Oryzias latipes: one gene and its partners. The protein of the gene in region 2 interacts with the protein of the main gene of each other region in a biochemical or structural test. Links are inferred from orthologs where the notes say so. Each region holds a gene or a part of one and is shown on either strand. Other genes may lie near its edges.

Evidence for each region. The genes of interacting proteins can lie anywhere in the genome.
Region 1: the proteins of heat shock protein HSP 90-alpha (region 2) and hif1a form a complex in vitro, tested with the Homo sapiens proteins (4 studies listed by BioGRID and IntAct, with this or other methods). The link is inferred for Oryzias latipes from reciprocal best matches to the Homo sapiens genes HSP90AA1 and HIF1A.
Region 3: the proteins of heat shock protein HSP 90-alpha (region 2) and ppid form a complex in vitro, tested with the Homo sapiens proteins (2 studies listed by BioGRID). The link is inferred for Oryzias latipes from reciprocal best matches to the Homo sapiens genes HSP90AA1 and PPID.

What each region holds. Positions count from the first base shown.
Region 1 is NC_019880.2:11,956,482-11,962,480, reverse strand, and holds the end of hif1a (hypoxia-inducible factor 1-alpha), read left to right. Parts: intron 1-396; coding exon 397-599; intron 600-771; coding exon 772-878; intron 879-1,058; coding exon 1,059-1,206; intron 1,207-1,336; coding exon 1,337-1,626; intron 1,627-1,714; coding exon 1,715-1,920; intron 1,921-2,011; coding exon 2,012-2,134; intron 2,135-2,239; coding exon 2,240-2,493; intron 2,494-2,568; coding exon 2,569-2,668; intron 2,669-2,748; coding exon 2,749-2,836; intron 2,837-2,909; coding exon 2,910-3,073; 3' UTR 3,074-3,988; downstream 3,989-5,999. Other genes in the region: serine protease HTRA2, mitochondrial-like, read right to left, coding at 4,200-4,365, 4,462-4,557, 4,631-4,700, 4,768-4,876, 5,371-5,403, 5,524-5,718.
Region 2 is NC_019882.2:17,292,899-17,299,499, reverse strand, and holds the start of heat shock protein HSP 90-alpha, read right to left. Parts: upstream 3,541-6,601; 5' UTR 3,381-3,540; intron 2,518-3,380; coding exon 2,368-2,517; intron 2,082-2,367; coding exon 1,715-2,081; intron 1,632-1,714; coding exon 1,498-1,631; intron 1,415-1,497; coding exon 1,091-1,414; intron 1,009-1,090; coding exon 843-1,008; intron 754-842; coding exon 563-753; intron 485-562; coding exon 337-484; intron 255-336; coding exon 1-254. Other genes in the region: heat shock protein HSP 90-alpha 1, read right to left, coding at 4,113-4,222, 4,316-4,649, 4,737-5,005, 5,088-5,235, 5,317-5,507, 5,621-5,786, 5,886-6,191, 6,386-6,519. UniProt on the Homo sapiens protein: Molecular chaperone that promotes the maturation, structural maintenance and proper regulation of specific target proteins involved for instance in cell cycle control and signal transduction.
Region 3 is NC_019868.2:1,145,592-1,151,436, forward strand, and holds part of ppid (peptidyl-prolyl cis-trans isomerase D), read left to right. Parts: intron 1-1,951; coding exon 1,952-2,140; intron 2,141-4,092; coding exon 4,093-4,215; intron 4,216-4,663; coding exon 4,664-4,770; intron 4,771-5,845. UniProt on the Homo sapiens protein: PPIase that catalyzes the cis-trans isomerization of proline imidic peptide bonds in oligopeptides and may therefore assist protein folding. Proposed to act as a co-chaperone in HSP90 complexes such as in unligated steroid receptors heterocomplexes.

The sequences.
Region 1 (5,999 bases), on a different chromosome or scaffold from region 2:
GTTTCAATAGTGATAGACATGTGGTCAAGTTTATCAGGTTTTTTTCATGTTTAGTTTTTATTGAGTGTGAGGTTTTATTTGTTTAACCTTCTAGAAGCTGCATGACTGGTTAATGTGAGGCCTGTTCTGTATCAGTGCGACTGTAATAAGATAATAATGAAGTTACACAATAATCATAATGAGATTGCATTCATTGCCTTTTGAACACACTTCAGTTGGCAGGATCACAAAGCAGATAAACGACACATTTGGTATTGATATATTGTAAATTTAAGAAGGGGATTTTTTTTTTCTTTTTCTTTTAGAATATAGATAGGTGAAATGTTTGTATCCAAAATAAAGGAAAGCATTTTGTTGTCCTATACTGAATGTGTTTTTACTGTTTTGTGCCTGCAGGTGCTTCATTGCTCAGGTCGCGTGCACGTTAACAGCGTTGAAGCTGAGCAGAACAGTAACGGACAAAAAGAGCCTCCTGTTCCGTACCTGGTTCTGATCTGTGACCCAATCCCCCACCCCTCCAACATCGAGGTCCCTTTGGACACCAAGACCTTCCTCAGCCGCCACACAATGGACATGAAGTTCACTTACTGTGATGAGAGGTGGGTTTTTTTTTGTTGTTTTGTCTCCTCCTCCTCCTTTTAATACAGTAAGAGCAAAAGGTTAAGAGTGTGAACTCATTTAAAACATTTGTAACCACACAGAGCCCCCTACTGTTCAGTACTGGTACTGAAAGTCTAGACCTAAAGAAAATCTTTGTTTTGTTTAATCCAGGATCACTGAGCTCATGGGTTATGACCCAGAGGACCTTATGAATCGCTCTGTGTATGAGTACTACCACGCTCTGGACTCAGACCATCTCACTAAGACTCACCAAAACTGTAAGTAAAACAGTTTTGTTTTAAAAAAATTAAAACCAAAATTTAAACTTTAGCTTCTGTTTTAATAATATTTGAAATATATATATATATATATATATATATATATATATATATATATATATATATATATATATATATATATATGTGTTTTTAAATCAGTTAATTTTTTTATGCTTGTAGTGTTTGCTAAGGGCCAGGTCTGCACGGGTAGATACCGGATGTTGGCCAAGAGTGGAGGCTTTGTGTGGGTCGAAACACAAGCCACCGTTATCTACAACACCAAGAACTCTCAGCCGCAGTGTGTTGTTTGTGTCAACTTTGTGCTCAGGTACTGTGAAGTCTCTGCAGATTGGACAGTTGCGTCTTTAGAGAAGACATAATCATCAAAGCATTCGCAGAAGATTTTTCTTTGCTGCAGATGTAACTTTCCTGTCTTATGCTTTTTTTTTTTTGAACAGTGGAATCCAAGAAGAGAAACTGATCATGTCTCTGGAGCAGATTGAGGATGTGAAATCGGTGAAAGAGGAGCCGCAGGAGGCAGGCGAGGTTGGAGCTGAGAGCGACAAGACTGCATCAACGACGGCAGAAACTGGACCGGAGCAAGAACTGATAAAGCCCTTTAAGAAGATGATGGAGTCAGAACCGTTTGACACACTGTATGACCAGCTGAAGGAGGAGCCTGAGGCCCTCACCCTGCTCGCTCCAGCAGCTGGAGACACAATCATCTCCCTGGATTTCAGCCAGCCTGGTGTGTAGATCTATAACCGCATTCAGAAATGTTCATTATTAGCATCAGTGAACCCATTCTCACTCTGGTTCCGATTTTCCTGGTGAAGAACCAGAACCAGAGATCCACTTGCTGAAGGACACTCCTCTCTACAATGATGTGATGCTGCTCTCCACGAGTGACAAGCTGGCTCTTCCTCTGTCCCCTCTGCCGCCCAGCGAGGTTCTCGGTCTGTCCAACACACCTGATGAGGCCAAACCTGAGAGTCCCAGCGAAGCCCCACCCAACACATTGATCCCGGACAGTCCGGCGCAGGTGGGTCGGCTTGAAAAGCATATTTATTAAAAGTATTGACTATTTTGTTTTTTGAAGAGGGGACAATGGAAAGGGTTTTTTTTTATTGTAGACCGCCAGTCCGATAGACTTTTGCTTCCCCATGGATTCAGAAGTGAACTCTGAATTCAAACTGGATTTGGTGGAGAAGATGTTTGCCATCGACACCGAATCCAAAACCCCATTCACCACACAGGTAATCATCAGCTTTTACTGTATTTGTAGCGTCTTTATTTAGTTATCATCAAACCAAAACTGTCAAGAACTCTCATTGATTGAACTGCTTTGATCCCTAATGTTGACGGAGGACTTGGATCTGGAAATGTTGGCTCCCTACATCTCCATGGACGATGATTTCCAGCTGCCCTGTGTCGCCGTGGAGGAGCCACAGTCTTCTGGAGCAGCCAAACCCCTGAAGCCTTCTCCGGTTGGTGTTACACAAGACGCCCTCAGCTATCCCAGCTCCCATTTCAGCCCACTTAGCGGTTGCACGGCCTCTCCAGGGCCTCCTGACACTGCCAGCACCGCGTCTCTGCCCACCGAGACACTGGACAGGTGACGTCTCCAAACGTGAACAACTTCCGTCACATTTTAGAACAGCTGGTTAAATGGAATGTTTCTCTGCTGCAGAGCTGGAAACCTGCAGAAAGATGTCCACCTCTGCAGTCTAGCAGCTCCAAACACGCAGCGTAAAAGAAAGCTGAGTGATCTAATGGAGATCATCGAACAGGTAAGTCCACCTTAAATAGTTGATGTAACTTCACTTCCACAGATTTCAGGTAAACCATTTTTATTTGATGTTCCTCTCAGGGACCTTTGCCCAAGGAGTCAGAGAAAGGCAAAAAACTAAAAGCATCAGAGCTGGGAACAACCAGGACTGTCCTTTTGGTATCATCAGGTAAGAAAAATAAAAAAGACTGGGTCGGTTTCATTGTAACATGTCAGCTGAAGTTGATGTCTCTCTGACGTAGATTTGGCAAGTCGGCTGCTTGGCACCACTTCCGAGAGCTCCAGTTCTCCCTTCACTCTGCCGCAGCTCACTCGCTATGACTGCGAGGTCAACGCCCCTTTACAAGGTCGCCAGTGCCTCCTGCAGGGGGAGGAGCTTCTGCGGGCTTTGGACCACGTCATCTGAGCCGGTCTCTCCCTGCTGGACTGACTGGACACTACAACGAGTCCCTGACATTTTCATCCCCCCTCCTTCCTTCCCGCCCTCCACCCCACACTTCCTTATTTATGTATCCGTACGAGTTCGACTATTTAGTCCGGCTGCTGTTCGTGCACATCGTGTGATATTTGCAGCATTCCACCAAGACAAACACCACAGCAGCAGTGTGGGTTTTTATTTTTTGGGTTCGTGGGATTGTCGTAGTTCTTGGTTCATTTGTTTCTCCCTCTTCCTAGGGGGGGAGGGGTCTCTCAGCACACAGCGCCTTGACAGGTGACCCGTCTGCAACGGGTCACCATAGAACCTGGCGCTACTGCCAGCAGTGTATTGTAAGCTTCAGTCGCACAATTTCTATTTTCTTAAAGAAAAAAATGACTACCAGCAATATATATTAAGCCTTTTTAACGTAGTTTTAATGGGATATAAACAGTTCTATTTTTTTCTTCCCATACTTGTATGTTGTAGTACTCGTACCTAGAAAGATATGGCTTAAACCTGAAGTGGGTTGAATGTTTCCATTTAATGGCTGTCTTTGATCTAAACACAATTGTGTAGCAGTCTAGTACAAGTCACTTTATTTGTTGTTACTGTACATATACCAGGGAAATGTGTTCAGTGTGGCTTCACAGCTTGGTGTGAAGTTTTATCTCATGCAGGATTTACTTTTTTTTTTTTTTTTTTAAACATGAATTGGATTCATGGTTTTAGTCATTTGTGTGACGTTCTCAAAGCGGTCAGTTCTAATCCCATTTTGCTCATGTACATCCTAACACTTTCTTGCTCACTTAATGGTAGTCCATTTAATACCATTTCTTCTTGCCGTAGTTTTGAGTCACTCATGCTACTTTTGCTGTTTAACAATAAATGGCTTTAAAAGAAAAATAGGAGCGTTTGCAGTTGACCTTTTTATTTAACAAACAGTGCATTATGGGTCGGGGAAGACAAACATTTCAAATTAGATGTTTCATTTCTCAGAGTTATTAAAATGGCATCTGTGCTACTCAAAGGGAAACTTAAACGAAGAGTCTGTGTTCACATTTCCTCAGTGTGCCAGCAGGGAAGGCAGACATGACGCCTGTCCGTCTCCATCCTGTTACTCGATGAATTCAGGAGTCACTTGCAGTCGCAGCAGCTCCTTCCCTCTCTGCACCAGCATGGTGATCCTGTCGCTGCTGCGGACCGCCTTGTAGATCTCCTCTGAGGTGTTGACTTTAACGCCGTTGATCTCCACTACGATGTCTCCTGCTAGCATGCCGGCTCTGAAACGCACAAAGCAGCCCGAGGGAGAAATGAGTGGCACTTGAATGCATCACCTGCAATCTGGGTCATACTCGACTTCCCTTACAGCGCTTTACCTGCTAGCAGGCGAGCCAATGATGACTCTGTGGATCAGGATGCCATGCGTCACGTTGGGGAACATGGGGTCTCTCAGCTGCAGCTCAGTGATGATGCTACGGAGGGATTCAGACCAATATGGATTTAGATGCTCTGGTGATTTAAATATGCCGAAATCGCTGTGGTTACCTTGGAGTCAGCGTCAGCATCATAACTCCAATGTATCGAGCCTTAGTTCTAGATTCGCCAACTGAAGACTCTTAAAGAAAAAAACATAATCAGGTGTAGAGTCTGTACAGAAAACAGGAGGTCTTTTTATTTCTTACTGGTTTTCTTTGCTGCTTGATCAAGGAAGATTTTCAGCCGGTCAGATGGAATAGCAAATGAAATCCCAGCAGTGACCTTCATTGTGTTGATACCAATAACTTCCCCATCCTAAGAACAAGTGAGATATCAGTTACAACATGCAATCACGGGGCTGCATCTTATTTTTGTTTTTTAATTTAATCAACACCAAAACTATTGACTTAGTAATAAGACCAGGAGGAAGGAAGAGAAGAGCCTTGTGCCTTTCAGCTTAAAGCTGGCTTTAGGCAGAAACTGCAGCCGGGTCGGCTAACAGAGTCACTGCCAGATGGCTTCTTAAGTAGCTCAATCCCATTCATTTCAATAGAAAACTTTACAACAAAGAGAAAACTATTCCAAAACCTCATTCATGTTTAATACCTATGGCAAATATTAACATTAAGTCTCATTTTAATTTGAAAATGACCACATTAAAATGAATTAAATATAGATATTATTTAATGCTTGCATATGGTGCTCAATGTGTTGTTGTATTTGAGCTGAAAATCCGATCGAATTCAGTTTGAGGAAAACAAAACATTTGAATGCTTTTACTTCAATATTAAGCAAGAGCTGTGACTCACCAGATTAATCAGTGGACCTCCGGAATTTCCAAACTGCAAAAGAAGTTAGTCACAGGTGATGAGAAGTAATCCAACACCTGAGTAACAACAACTCCATTCACCCTTGATTTAAGGGAATGTCATTAGTCACGGAGTCACCGGCAGAGAACTCACATCGATGGTGGCGTCTGTCTGGATGTACTCCATGTTGGGGTTGGACAGGCCCAGCTCCTTGCTGTCCCTTTGCGCCGAGCTAACGATCCCGGATGTGATCGTGTTCCGGAGAGCGAACGGGCTTCCCATGGCGACCACAAACTCCCCCTGTCGAATATCTGACGACTGGCCCAGTTTCAGAGTGGGTAGTGGGTTCTGCACGTCCCAAAAGAAAAAGAAAAAAGCTCTTTCAATATAAGAAAAAAGGTGTTTCTTTTAGTCTCATTTTGTCCTTATGTTTGTGTTAGATTGCAGACACGTTGGTCTGTGGTTTTTCCCAACGATTCTGCAATCCTTTTGAGTAAAGTAAACAAATCACAGCTTTCTTATTCTGATGTAGAAAACCTGGAAATTACGATCTTCGCTGAACAGGAACCAAAACTAAAAGTCAACCGATGACTCAAACCAGCTCGTTTGACTCACTTTAGCAGAGATTC
Region 2 (6,601 bases):
TTCCAGGATGTCCTTCATGATCTTGCAAAGGTTCTCAAACTGAGCTTTCTTTTCTTCTTGCTTCTTCTTCTCCTCCTCATCCTCAGGCAGCTCCAGACCTTCCTTGGTGACTGAAACCAGGTTCTTGCCATCAAAGTCCTTCAGCTGCTGGACACAGTACTCGTCGATGGGCTCGATCATGTAGATGACCTCAAGACCGGCTTTGCGAAGGCGTTCCACAAAAGCAGAGTTGGCCACCTGGTCCTTGGTCTCGCCTGAACCGCAAAACATGACGTCAATCATCTGCTAACACTCAGGTGAAGAATCAGCTCAGATGCAGGTGGAGCAAGGCCTCACCAGTGATATAGTAGATGTGTTTCTGGTTGTCCTTCATGCGGGTGACATAGTCTTTGAGGGAAACCATCTCATCTCCAGAGGCTGAGGTGTAGTATCTTAGCAGCTCAGACAGCTTCTTCCTGTTCTGAGAGTCTTCGTGAATTCCAAGCTAAAGGGGGACATAGTATGTTAGTGGAAATGAACTGGAATACACCTTTCAGAAAGGTTTGTGGCGTCACAAAGCTACCTTGATGTTCTTGGAGAACTGTTCATATAACTTCTTGTAGTTGTCCTTGTCCTCAGACAGCTCTGTGAAGAGCTCCAGACATTTCTTAACCAGGTTCTTACGGATGACCTTCAGGATTTTGCTCTGCTGCAGCATCTCTCTGGAGATGTTCAGGGGCAGATCTTCAGAGTCCACCACACCCCTGATGAAATCTGACAAATGAAAAGTAGAATTCAGTTTAGTCATTTTGCTCCCCGCTCACCTCAGATTAGAATAGAATCCAGCAGGTCCGGACACTTACTGAGATACTCAGGGATGAGCTCATCACAGTTGTCCATGATGAAGACTCTACGCACGTAAAGCTTGATGTTGTTCTTCTTCTTTTTGTTCTCAAACAGGTCAAAGGGGGCACGGCGGGGCACGAAGAGGAGGGCACGGAACTCCAGCTGCCCTTCCACTGAAAAATGCTACAGAGGAAGGAAAGGGGGGGTTCAGAAAATGTTTCCCTTGAGACCAGATTTCCCCTCAACTTCCATCTGAATCACCAACCTTGACAGCCAGGTGATCCTCCCAGTCGTTGGTGAGACTCTTGTAGAACTCCCCGTACTCCTCGTTGGTGATGTCGTCTGGGTTGCGGGTCCACAGTGGTTTCGTTTTGTTCAGCTCCTCCTGGTCGATGTACTTCTCCTTGATCTTCTTCTTTTTTTTCTTTTTGTCTGAGGACTTGTCATGGTCATCCTCTTCATCTGACCCCACATCCTCAATCTCAGGTTTGTCCTCATCCTTCTCTTCCTCGTTCTTCTCCTTGTCTTTCTCCTTCTCCTCTTCCTCAGCCTCGTCGTCACTCACCTCCTTGTCCCGCTCCTTCTCCACCTGCAACCACAGAAGGAACAGTTTCAGCTCACTCGGATCAGAATACATCCCCTCGAAGTAAAATACAGGGTTCTGATACGTACAAAGAGTGTGATGGGGTAGCCGATAAACTGAGAGTGTTTCTTCACAATCTCCTTGATCCTCCTCTCCTCCAGGTATTCTGACTGATCTTCTTTCAGGTGGAGGATCACTTTGGTTCCTCGGCCCAAAGGCTCAGCTAGACATTGAAACCAAGAGTCAGTCAGCACACGAGAACCACAAACACCAGAAGCTGACATTCAAAAGCCTCACATTACTTACAATTGTCCAGTTTCACTGTGAAGGAGCCTCCAGCAGAGGATTCCCAAGCGTACTGCTCGTCGTCGTTGTGTTTGGTGATGACCGTCACCTTCTCAGCCACCAAATATGCAGAGTAGAAGCCCACGCCGAACTGCCCGATCATGGAGATGTCGGCTCCGGCTTGTAAAGCCTCCATAAATGCTTTAGTTCCAGATTTGGCGATGGTTCCCAGGTTGTTGATCAGGTCCGCTTTGGTCATTCCGATTCCCGTGTCCATCAAGGTCAGCGTCCGCTCCTGTTTGTTTGGCGTGATTTCGATTTTGAGTTCCTTTCCCGAGTCGAGCTTGGCGGGGTCAGTCAGGCTCTCGTAACGGATTTTGTCCAAAGCCTGTCGGAACAACGGATCCATGAACTTCCTTTTAGACGACCTGCTCACTTTTCATTTAGTACAACTGCAGCCAAAATGCAATTCTATGGGATTTAAATGGAATTTAAATTCATAAAAATAAAAAGCAGATAAAAAAAAAAAAAAAAATTCAATCAAAAAGAGACAAAGCCCAATGAGCACTGCCTAAGAAGAAACTGTCCAAGAATAATCAGTGAATTTAATAAATTAGCATTAGATTCAGTGCAGATGAAATATAGAAAAAAATCTTAGGCTTGTGTAAACTTACATCTGAGGAGTTAGAGATAAGCTCTCTGAGGAAGATCTCCTTGTTGGAATAGAAGGTGTTGATGATCAAGGACATAAGCTGAGCGATCTCAGCCTGGAATGCGAAGGTCTCAGTCTCCTCCTCCATTGGTTGGTCATGCATCTCAGGCATCTGAGTAACAAGAAAATATATCCTTTAGCTTAAGTTAACTAAAAATTAACCTTTAGTTATTGTTCCAAACACAAACAGCTTTATAGTCAAGATAGTGGGTTTAATAGAATGAGGGACACAAAAAATGAGTAATCTGGTAAAGTAGAGTCTATTATTTTGAAAAAAAAAATAATAATTCTAATCCTTAAAATTCAGATATACAATCCCCTTTTATAATCCTCCTTTAAAATTGGTTTTCAGTTCACCAAGTCCGAAACTAAAAATCTCAAAAATATAAAAAAAATTGTTTACATTTTAAATATTTAATTAAATTTGAAAAATCTTTTGAACAAGTCTCCAATGGCCTTTTTCTCCATCTCTTCCATTTGCGCAGCAGTGTCGCCCTCTGCTGGTTACCCAGCGTAAGGCGAGTTTCTAGAAGGTACCAGGAGGAGAGCAGAGCACGCGCAGCTTCACGAGGAGCAGAAAGTCGCTGCTCTCATCAACCGTTTTCAGAGTTCGTATGAATGAGATGTCCGCACAAAAAAATAAAATAAAATACCGGGACCAGCTCGCCCGGCTAAAACAACGGCTTAAAACTATAACAACAACAATTAAATAACCCGTAAGCGCATAATGTTATACTGCTGACACATGCAGGGCAGCAGCATCTCATCATTACCACTCGACTGGACAAAAAAAGTGGTTCCTTTATTAACCCTTAGAGAAAAATTAAACATTTGAGTAAATAGTTTGTGGCTAAATGCTTAAAAAGTAATTCACCCTAATAATCAACGAAGTGTGCAAAGTTAACAGATTTAAGAACCTTATTTTAGTCTCTAATCACGACGAGTCCTGCAGCTCATTGTGAGTGCATCATTTACCTTGGTCCTCCGTGGGAGTGGAATGCTCCGCTATTGATCGCTGTTTCTCGCTTTCGTCGCTCCACTGCTTCAAAATCTGTCCCGCCGTTCGTCTCTCCGCTATTTGTACTCTTTCAGAGGCTTCGAGAAAAAACCCTGACGGGGGCTTCCAGAAGCGTCTGGAATCCTCCCGGCTGCGGCTTGGTGGTGCTCGCTGATAGGCTGAGCTACACGTCTGTCAACGCCCGGTCCCCGCCCATTTCACCATATTTGGTGTTGGTAGGTGGAGAATGTGGAGAGACTATACCAAGCGAGGAACACGTGTAGGAGTGGGATCTAGAAAGAACCACGCTGTGTGCATTGAAAATTCCAGAACTAGAAAGAAAAACCTTTTCAAGTTACGAACTTTCTTAATTAAAATGTGCTTCACATTTGCAGAATTGGTATTTGACATTTTTGGCTTTGAATATTTTAAAGTTTAGCATGCATTAGGTTAAAAAAGACAAAAGGCTCTAACCATTATATTTTATTAAAAATTTTAAAGTTTTACATACAAAATGTAAAAGTTACAAAAGAAACACAAGTGAAAGCTGAGAAACTTTTTATATAGCGAATTGAGTTTTTAAATGTTTCTATATACAGTGTTTCCATTTTGGCAAAAGTCAATTAATGTCTGTATTTGTTTTGTCCAGGCAATACAACACATGTTACAAAAATAAAATAAAAAACCTTTGAAAGGCCTGAAAAAAACATTTAGTCAACTTCTTCCATTCTTGATGTGTCATCATCTCCCTCCAATACTGGCATATCTTCATCAGTCGGCTGAATGATGTCTTCAACTGCAGAGTCGTCATCATCAATTCCTACAAAAACCAGACAGCATTCTTTAGCAACCAACCAATCTGAACTGTGGGAATTGTAATTGTGTTTGCAGGTATATAGGAAGTAAAACATACCAAGACCCAGTTTGATCATCCTGTAGATGCGGTTAGCATGTGTTTGAGGGTCCTCCAGGGTGAATCCTGAAGACAGCAGGGCGGTCTCAAACAGCAGGATAACCAGATCCTTCACTGCTTTATCATTCTTGTCCACTTCAGCCTTCTCCCGTAGTGTCTCGACGATTGGATGGAGTGGGTTGATCTCCAGATGCTTCTTGGCTGTCATGTATCCCATGGTGGAGTTGTCCCTTAGGGCCTGGGATTTCATGATCCTCTCCATGTTAGCCGTCCAGCCATAGGTGCTGGTGACGATGCAGCATGGGGAGGAGACCAGGCGGTTGGAAACTGTGACCTGTGGAAGGAGAAACAAAGTTTTTAATGATGAAATTCTGGTGATTGATCAAAATTTATGAGGTAAACCCATTTTCCAAGAGCATACCTTTTCAATCTTTTTGTCCAGTATATCTTTCATGATCTTGCAAAGGTTCTCAAACTTAGTTTTGAGTTCCTCCTGCTTCTTCTTCTCCTCATCATCCTCAGGCAGCTCCAGACCTTCCTTGGTGACTGAAACCAGATTCTTTCCATCATACTCCTTCAGCTGCTGGACACAGTACTCGTCGATGGGCTCGATCATGTAGATGACCTCAAGACCGGCTTTGCGAAGGCGTTCCACAAAAGCAGAGTTGGCCACCTGGTCCTTGGTCTCGCCTAAACCGCAAAACATGACGTCAACCATCTGCTAACACTCAGGTGAAGAATCAGCTCAGATGCAGGTGGAGCAAGGCCTCACCAGTGATATAGTAGATGTGTTTCTGGTTGTCCTTCATGCGAGAGACATAGTCTTTGAGGGAAACCATCTCATCTCCAGAGGCTGAGGTGTAGTATCTTAGCAGCTCAGACAGCTTCTTCCTGTTCTGAGAGTCTTCGTGAATTCCAAGCTAAAGGGGGACATAGTATGTTAGTGGAAATGAACTGGAATACACCTTTCAGAAAGGTTTGTGGCGTCACATCAAAGCTACCTTGATGTTCTTGGAGAACTGTTCATATAACTTCTTGTAGTTGTCCTTGTCCTCAGACAGCTCTGTGAAGAGCTCCAGACATTTCTTAACCAGGTTCTTGCGGATGACCTTCAGGATTTTGCTCTGCTGCAGCATCTCTCTGGAGATGTTCAGGGGCAGATCTTCAGAGTCCACCACACCTTTAATGAAATCTGAATGGACAAAAGAAACCTTGTTCAACTTTAAACTTATTTTTTACACTGCAATATGACAGATAGTTAAGATTATAAATTAGGACTATATGTGACTATCATGTGTTGCTTACTGAGATACTCTGGGATGAGCTCATCACAGTTGTCCATGATAAATACTCTGCGCACGTATAGCTTGATGTTGTTTCTTTTTTTCTTGTTTTCGAAGAGGTCAAAGGCAGCTCTTCTCGGTACAAAGAGGAGGGCTCTAAACTCCAGCTGACCTTCCACTGAGAAGTGCTGCAGGTTCAACAAATACATGTTAGTGTTAGCCAGATAGAGCAATAAGTATCAGCAATAATAAACAGTTAGTTTAGGCCTTTTCATAGCTAAATATACCTTCACTGCCAGGTGGTCTTCCCAGTCGTTGGTGAGACTCTTGTAGAACTCCCCGTATTCCTCGTTGGTGATGTCGTCTGGGTTACGGGTCCAGATGGGCTTGGTCTTGTTTAGCTCTTGAGCATCAATGTACTTTTCCTTGACCTTCTTCTTCCTCTTGTTTTTTCCATCCTTTGTGTCTTCATCTTCGTCTGATCCCACGTCTTCAATCTGAGGTTTGTCTTTGTTCTCAGCACTCTCCTTTTCTACTTCCTCCACCTTCTCTCCTTCCTCAAGATCCACCTCCTTTTCCCTCGTCTTTTCCACCTGGAATGTAAAGGAAGATCTCTGAGTGTTTGCTGTACTCTGATTTAACTCCTCTGTAGGTAATAAAAAGCTAGCAAGAAATGTTGAATTTTCAATTAAAATGCATGTCAAAATGGTAAAGATATTTCCTGAAAATGCTATGGTTTTCTTTTTATATTTACTGTTTTTCTGTACATTTCGGTGATCAAACTTACATAAAGTGTAATTGGGTAGCCAATAAACTGGGAGTGCTTCTTTATAACTTCTTTGATGCGCTTCTCTTCACAGTATTCAGTCTGGTCTTCTTTGAGGTGGAGGATCACTTTAGTGCCTCTGCCTATGGGCTCTCCTATAAAACAAATTAAACCATCAGAACTTTGATTAAAAAAGAATTTTACTGATGGATAAATCAATCAAATGACTGAGTCAGA
Region 3 (5,845 bases), on a different chromosome or scaffold from region 2:
AGCAGTGAGGGCAGCAGAGAGGGCAGCAGTGAGGGCAGCAGTGAGGGCAGCAGTGAGGGCAGCAGTGAGGGCAGCAGTGAGGGCAGCAGAGAGGGCAGCAGAGAGGGCAGCAGAGAGGGCAGCAGAGAGGGCAACAGAGAGGGCAGCAGAGAGGGCAGCAGTGAGGGCAGCAGAGAGGGCAGCAGAGAGGGCAGCAGAGAGGGCAGCAGAGAGGGCAGCAGAGAGGGCAGCAGAGAGGGCAGCAGTGAGGGCAGCAGAGAGGGCAGCAGAGAGGGCAACAGAGAGGGCAGCAATGAGGGCAGCAGTGAGGGCAGCAGAGAGGGAAGCAGAGGGCAGCAGAGAGGGCAGCAGAGGGCAGCAGAGAGGGCAGCAGTGAGGGCAGCAGAGAGGGCAGCAGAGAGGGCAACAGAGAGGGCAACAGAGAGGGCAGCAGTGAGGGCAGCAGTGAGGGCAGCAGAGAGGGCAGCAGTGAGGGCAGCAGTGAGGGCAACAGAGAGGGCAGCAGTGAGGGCAGCAGTGAGGGCAGCAGAGAGGGCAACAGAGAGGGCAGCAGAGAGGGCAGCAGTGAGGGCAGCAGAGAGGGCAGCAGTGAGGGCAGCAGAGAGGGCAGCAGAGAGGGCAACAGAGAGGGCAGCAGAGAGGGCAGCAGTGAGGGCAACAGAGAGGGCAGCAGAGAGGGCAGCAGTGAGGGCAACAGAGAGGGCAGCAGAGAGGGCAGCAGTGAGGGCAACAGAGAGGGCAGCAGAGAGGGCAGCAGTGAGGGCAACAGAGAGGGCAGCAGTGAGGGCAGCAGTGAGGGCAACAGAGAGGGCAGCAGTGAGGGCAGCAGAGAGGGCAGCAGCGTCATCCTGTCTATTTTCCAGACATATTAATGTCCTCATTAGTGAAGCTAATGTCATGATTGTCTGCACCGTCATGTTTTCCAGGAAGCAACCTACGGGAGTTTGACAGATTTACGTCATTGTATATTGATCACATTTTCCAAAATCAATCAGCAAGAATTGGATTTCTACCCACTATTAGATTTTGTAGGGACCCATTGTTACATCATTTCTGGTCGTCGTGAAAAAAAGCAAATGTCTGCAGCTCGTGCAGAGTTCAACCTTCTGAGCAGGTAGAAAGATGAAGCTCTGAACATCAGTTTTCATGTCTCTACTGGCTTACTACTCTACTTTTGGACACACTTCACTTTTATTACTAGTAAAGAACTGCGTTACTGTCCTGGAGCTGTTTAGACCTGTTTCTGGAGCTTCCTCCTTTAGGATTTTATCTGCTGTGGAGGTCAGTGGGACAGACTCAGACTGTTTTTATTTAGCTCTAACCAGGCCTGCACAGTAAATCGCAAATATGCATATCATGCATATACCTGCAATACGCATAGCGCAAAATACAGCAAAAATTGCGATAAATGCTTCCCCTAAATGTGCTAAGACAATTTTTTACGAATAAAAATAATTTCATTGATGCACTTGACCAATCAGATGGAGCCCTTCATGTTGGATGGTTGCCTCTCATAGACTAGTGTCATTTGTGGTATAATTTAAGTTATGTTGACTCTTATTTAAATGTAACTGTTGCAGCTAAATGGAAATGAGACTTTGAACTGTTTGTTCATGTATAGCAAGTTATATCGTCATGGCAACATAGATCACTAATATGGCAGATCACTTGATTTCCTCATATGGTGCAGCCCTAGCTTTAACCCTGTTATGCCATTGATCCCAATGAATCTTTTATTAATATTCTGATTTTTGTATGGATTTCTTCTTCTAATGTTCATGATGATGATTGTAGAAATGTGACAGTTCACTTGGGTTGTTATTCTGATGCAGTAATGTGTGTTTGTTATTAGGTGAGAAGATTCATTCCAGCTTTAGGATTCAGAGGGTGTGGTATTAAAAGGATGCATGGCTGTCTACAGGCGTCTGCTTTGTGTTTTCTCCTGCTGCAGCACGACAAAGTGGGTCTACTGAGCATGGCCAACGCGGGGCCCAACACCAACGGCTCCCAGTTCTTCATCACTACGGTGGCCACGCCGCACCTGGATGGAAAACACGTGGTGTTCGGACAGGTGCTGAAGGGAATGGGAGTGGTTAAAACGCTGGAAGCTGTTGAGACCGAGGAAGATGCTCCCGTCAAGGTGAGCTGATGAACACAATTCAGAATCTTCACCACATCATTTATTACTTTGGACAGTCTTCAATGTTTTGAAAAATAAAGGCCGGTCTTTTTCCGTTTCCCATCAAACACAGTATTCCACAGGAGGAGCTTAGATGCTGCAGAACTCTGGGAAAAGTACTTTCAGCAGTTTGTGATTCTGAAGTGGGAGGGGTTTCTGACACTGCTGGCCCCTCCCATCAGATATGTGAGGCCAATGACTGTATAAGAAAACTGGACTGAGTCCCCCAGCGTCCTAACAGGAAGTACCTGCTGGCTCCAGGAATCCCATAGACCTCTGGAGAGAAATAAACAGCTGTTAGATATTCTATTGGTCAGAAGAAGCGTTCTGGATTCTTTCTGATACCTTTGTAAACATGTTCTTATTAACCCTCATTTTTTCTGTAATGCATTTATTCAGGTTATAAACTGACCGATCAGACGCCTGAATAGTGTGTGGCCTCACTACGAATGTTGGAAACGTGTGATTGACAGGTTTTGTGTGGTAGGAGTGTAGACTTCTAACAAACTCACCCCTGATATGCCAGAGTGGTTGCCATAGAGATGGTGACTCAAGCCTAGATCAATCACGGCTTACTGATCTAGTCTGGCTCCTAGTTATGAGCAAATGGCAACTGAATGGACTTCAATTTGTTGGATCTGGTAGTTAGTCATCTTCTACGGATGATGTCACGCTCACTCGGTCCAGTGTGAGCCTCGCCATCTTTAGCCAGGTCCGGCTTTCAGGTCCTTCAGGTTTGGACTGTTCTTTCAGTTGGTTCTTTGCGATTTGGACCGCTGTCAGTTTGTCAGTCACACACACGGTTCTGGAACTCTGCTCCAGCTCTCAACATTCGTATGGTCAAGGCCCCCCCCCCCCATCACCATGGTAACCAGTGATTAGTTAGGAATGTAAACGTTTGTTGTGTTTATGCTGACTGGTTGGTTGTTTTTTTCTTTCTATTTTGCAGTTTGAGCTTAAATTGAGCTAAATAGTAAAGAAATGTGGGTTTTGAACATGCACTGATTGACTTCTTAGGTTCTTCTGTTATCAGACACGGTTGGTTTTTTTCACATACCTGACATGTTTCGCCAGACGTCTTCTGTCTTCATCCCGTACCGGTATGTTAAAAAAAACACACAACCCTTGTCTGATAACAGAAGAACCTAAGAAGTCAGTTAATAATACAGGCACTATGGACGGTATTGAACTAACGTGCATTGATGCGCAGCAGAGCTGAGTTTGGGGGTCGGACATCTTCCTCTAGGCCTCTTTCCTGGTAGCTCTAACCTTCCCAACATCATCGCCGTTCCTCCTCTCAACGTGTCCAAACCATCCCCGTCTGCTTCCCATGACGCTCTTTAGTCACACATCACACCTGAAACCTTCCTCCACCCACTGCACACGTCTCTTCAGGTGGATGAACTTTGGTCACTGACGGGATTTGTGCATCATTGCCAGATGCATTCTAGTGTTTGTCTTGCACCTCCATCACCCTTCTTTTCCCTCGAAGCTGCAACGCTCGATGAAGAACCGTGTGCTGCTGATTGATCAGAATGTCAGTGATGTTCAGCTGCCGCTCTGCTGTCTGCCCTCCTCTTCACACTGCAAACTGATGAGAAATTCAGCTGATGAAGAGCACAAAGCTGTTGTGTTCCTCTGCGTGGAAGTGGAACTATGTACTTCCCTGCTTCCTGTCTCGTCTTTATTCTTTGGTGAGATTCTGTCTTGGAAGGTCCAGTTGTTTTTTTCTGGTTTCTCAGAAAGCTACTACTTTTTTTTTAACAGTAACAAAAAAAGCAACTGTTGGCATTTCTGACAATCAGCTCCCACCCTTCCTCCATACTGACGCTGTTCCTGAACGCCACATTCCGATGACTGTCCCTGCCTGGACTCCCACAGGAATGTCTGAATCCAGGTTTCTGTCTGTGCAGCCTTGTGTCATCGCTGACTGTGGGGAGCACAAGGACGGCGACAGCTGGGGCGCCCCAGCGGGCGACGGCACGGGAGACGCCCACCCAGACTTCCCCGAGGACTCGGACGTGGACTTTAAAGACGTGAGTGTCACAGCGGGCTTTGATCTTCAAGGACTCTGCTTCCGTCTGGCAGATGGGATCAGACGGCGCTGAGAGGACCAGCACGCCACTTCTGGAAATGTTTGTCACTGACTGCACAATCAGGCAGCAGGGCAGATAAGAAGAGACTTTGGTGTGTTTTGGATTACATTTTCTGTGTTTGATGCTGCGAGTGCATTTAAATCAATTCAATGGCAGGTTTGCTGAATATTTGCTTTGATGTTATTGGAGTTTCTGTCTTGTTTTTCCACCGTCCTGTCCAGTAGACTTTCAGGGTTGTAATGATTTTTGTTTTTCTAACTTTGTCCCCCTAAGAAAGAACAATATTGCCTGAAGCTGTAGAAATAAACAGATTGAATCATGTATATTTTGAAAATGAAAAAGCCGATTTAAGCCCCTCCACTGTTGTTTAATCTTCTTCTCCTTTCAGGTTGACAAAGTTCTGTCAGTTGCTGAAGACGTGAAGAATATTGGAAACAGCCTTTTTAAGAACCAGGACTGGAAAGCTGCAGTCAACAAATATAGTAAAGCCCTTAGGTAAAGCACACTGAAGTCTGTGTGTGTGTGTGTGTGTGTGTGTGTGTGGGTGTGTGTGTGTGTGTGTGTGTGTGTGGTTGACTTTCAGACAGTCACGCTGACTTACAGGTGGGCATTTCAGATGCACACTTTCAAGGCAGCCGTGAAATGAGTGATAATCTGCCTAAAATGAAACGACTTTCAAACGCTGAGTCCAAAATCAGCTTGAAGAGCCACGCAGCAGTTAAGCATCGAGTGGACGGCCGGCTGGACGCTATCGCCTGCACCCTGTTCTTGGTCAACTAGATGTAAAGAACGGTGTTCACCCCTGCCTTTGTGTGTGATGTGGATGCAGGTTTCAGTCCCACCCAGTGATCAGAATGTTCTGTAGTGCCGTGCAGGTTTAAGGCATGATGCCCATGTTAGAAACTTGTCTGTGAGCTACACTGCTGGAAAGAGTTGAGCTGCTTTACTTCTCAATAGATGTATCTATGTGTTTTTTCAAAGCTGAGACAAAGCAGGGAAAGAGCCACCCACACGTCACTTTGTGTTTGTTGAAAACAAACCCTCACCTCTGTGTCCTGGATGTCTTCTCCTCGTTTCAGGGAGTCACTGAACCTTTTTGGGGGTTTGATCTCAAGGGTCCAAAAGGATCCAAGTGTTTGATAAATCTTGGATAAACATATTTGATGTAACCCGATTTTGGATGTAAACCCATTTCTTCCCCGTCTCAGCATGGACACTGCCAACAGGCCGTTGAGCAAGGCTTTTGTCTTTCTGTCTTTCTGACCAGCTTCATCATTGACACAAATTTTCCCAAGCATTTTCAAAAAAACACTCAAAAAAAACGTCCCACATGTTGCCATGGACTCAGTGACTCAGCCCCTCCCACAGTATAGACAGCTGAATCAGGCTCAGGACACAGTGCAGGTTCTGGGCCCCACTGTTCTTCAATACGCTTATTTTTGGCACTCCCACTCTGTTTGCCTCATTTGGGATCAAACCTTCATGCTCAGTTATGCTAGCTTGTTCAGCTGATTTCTTTTTTTACATTGCTCAATTAGGACGTAGCATTACGCCTGCTCTGTGAGTGAAG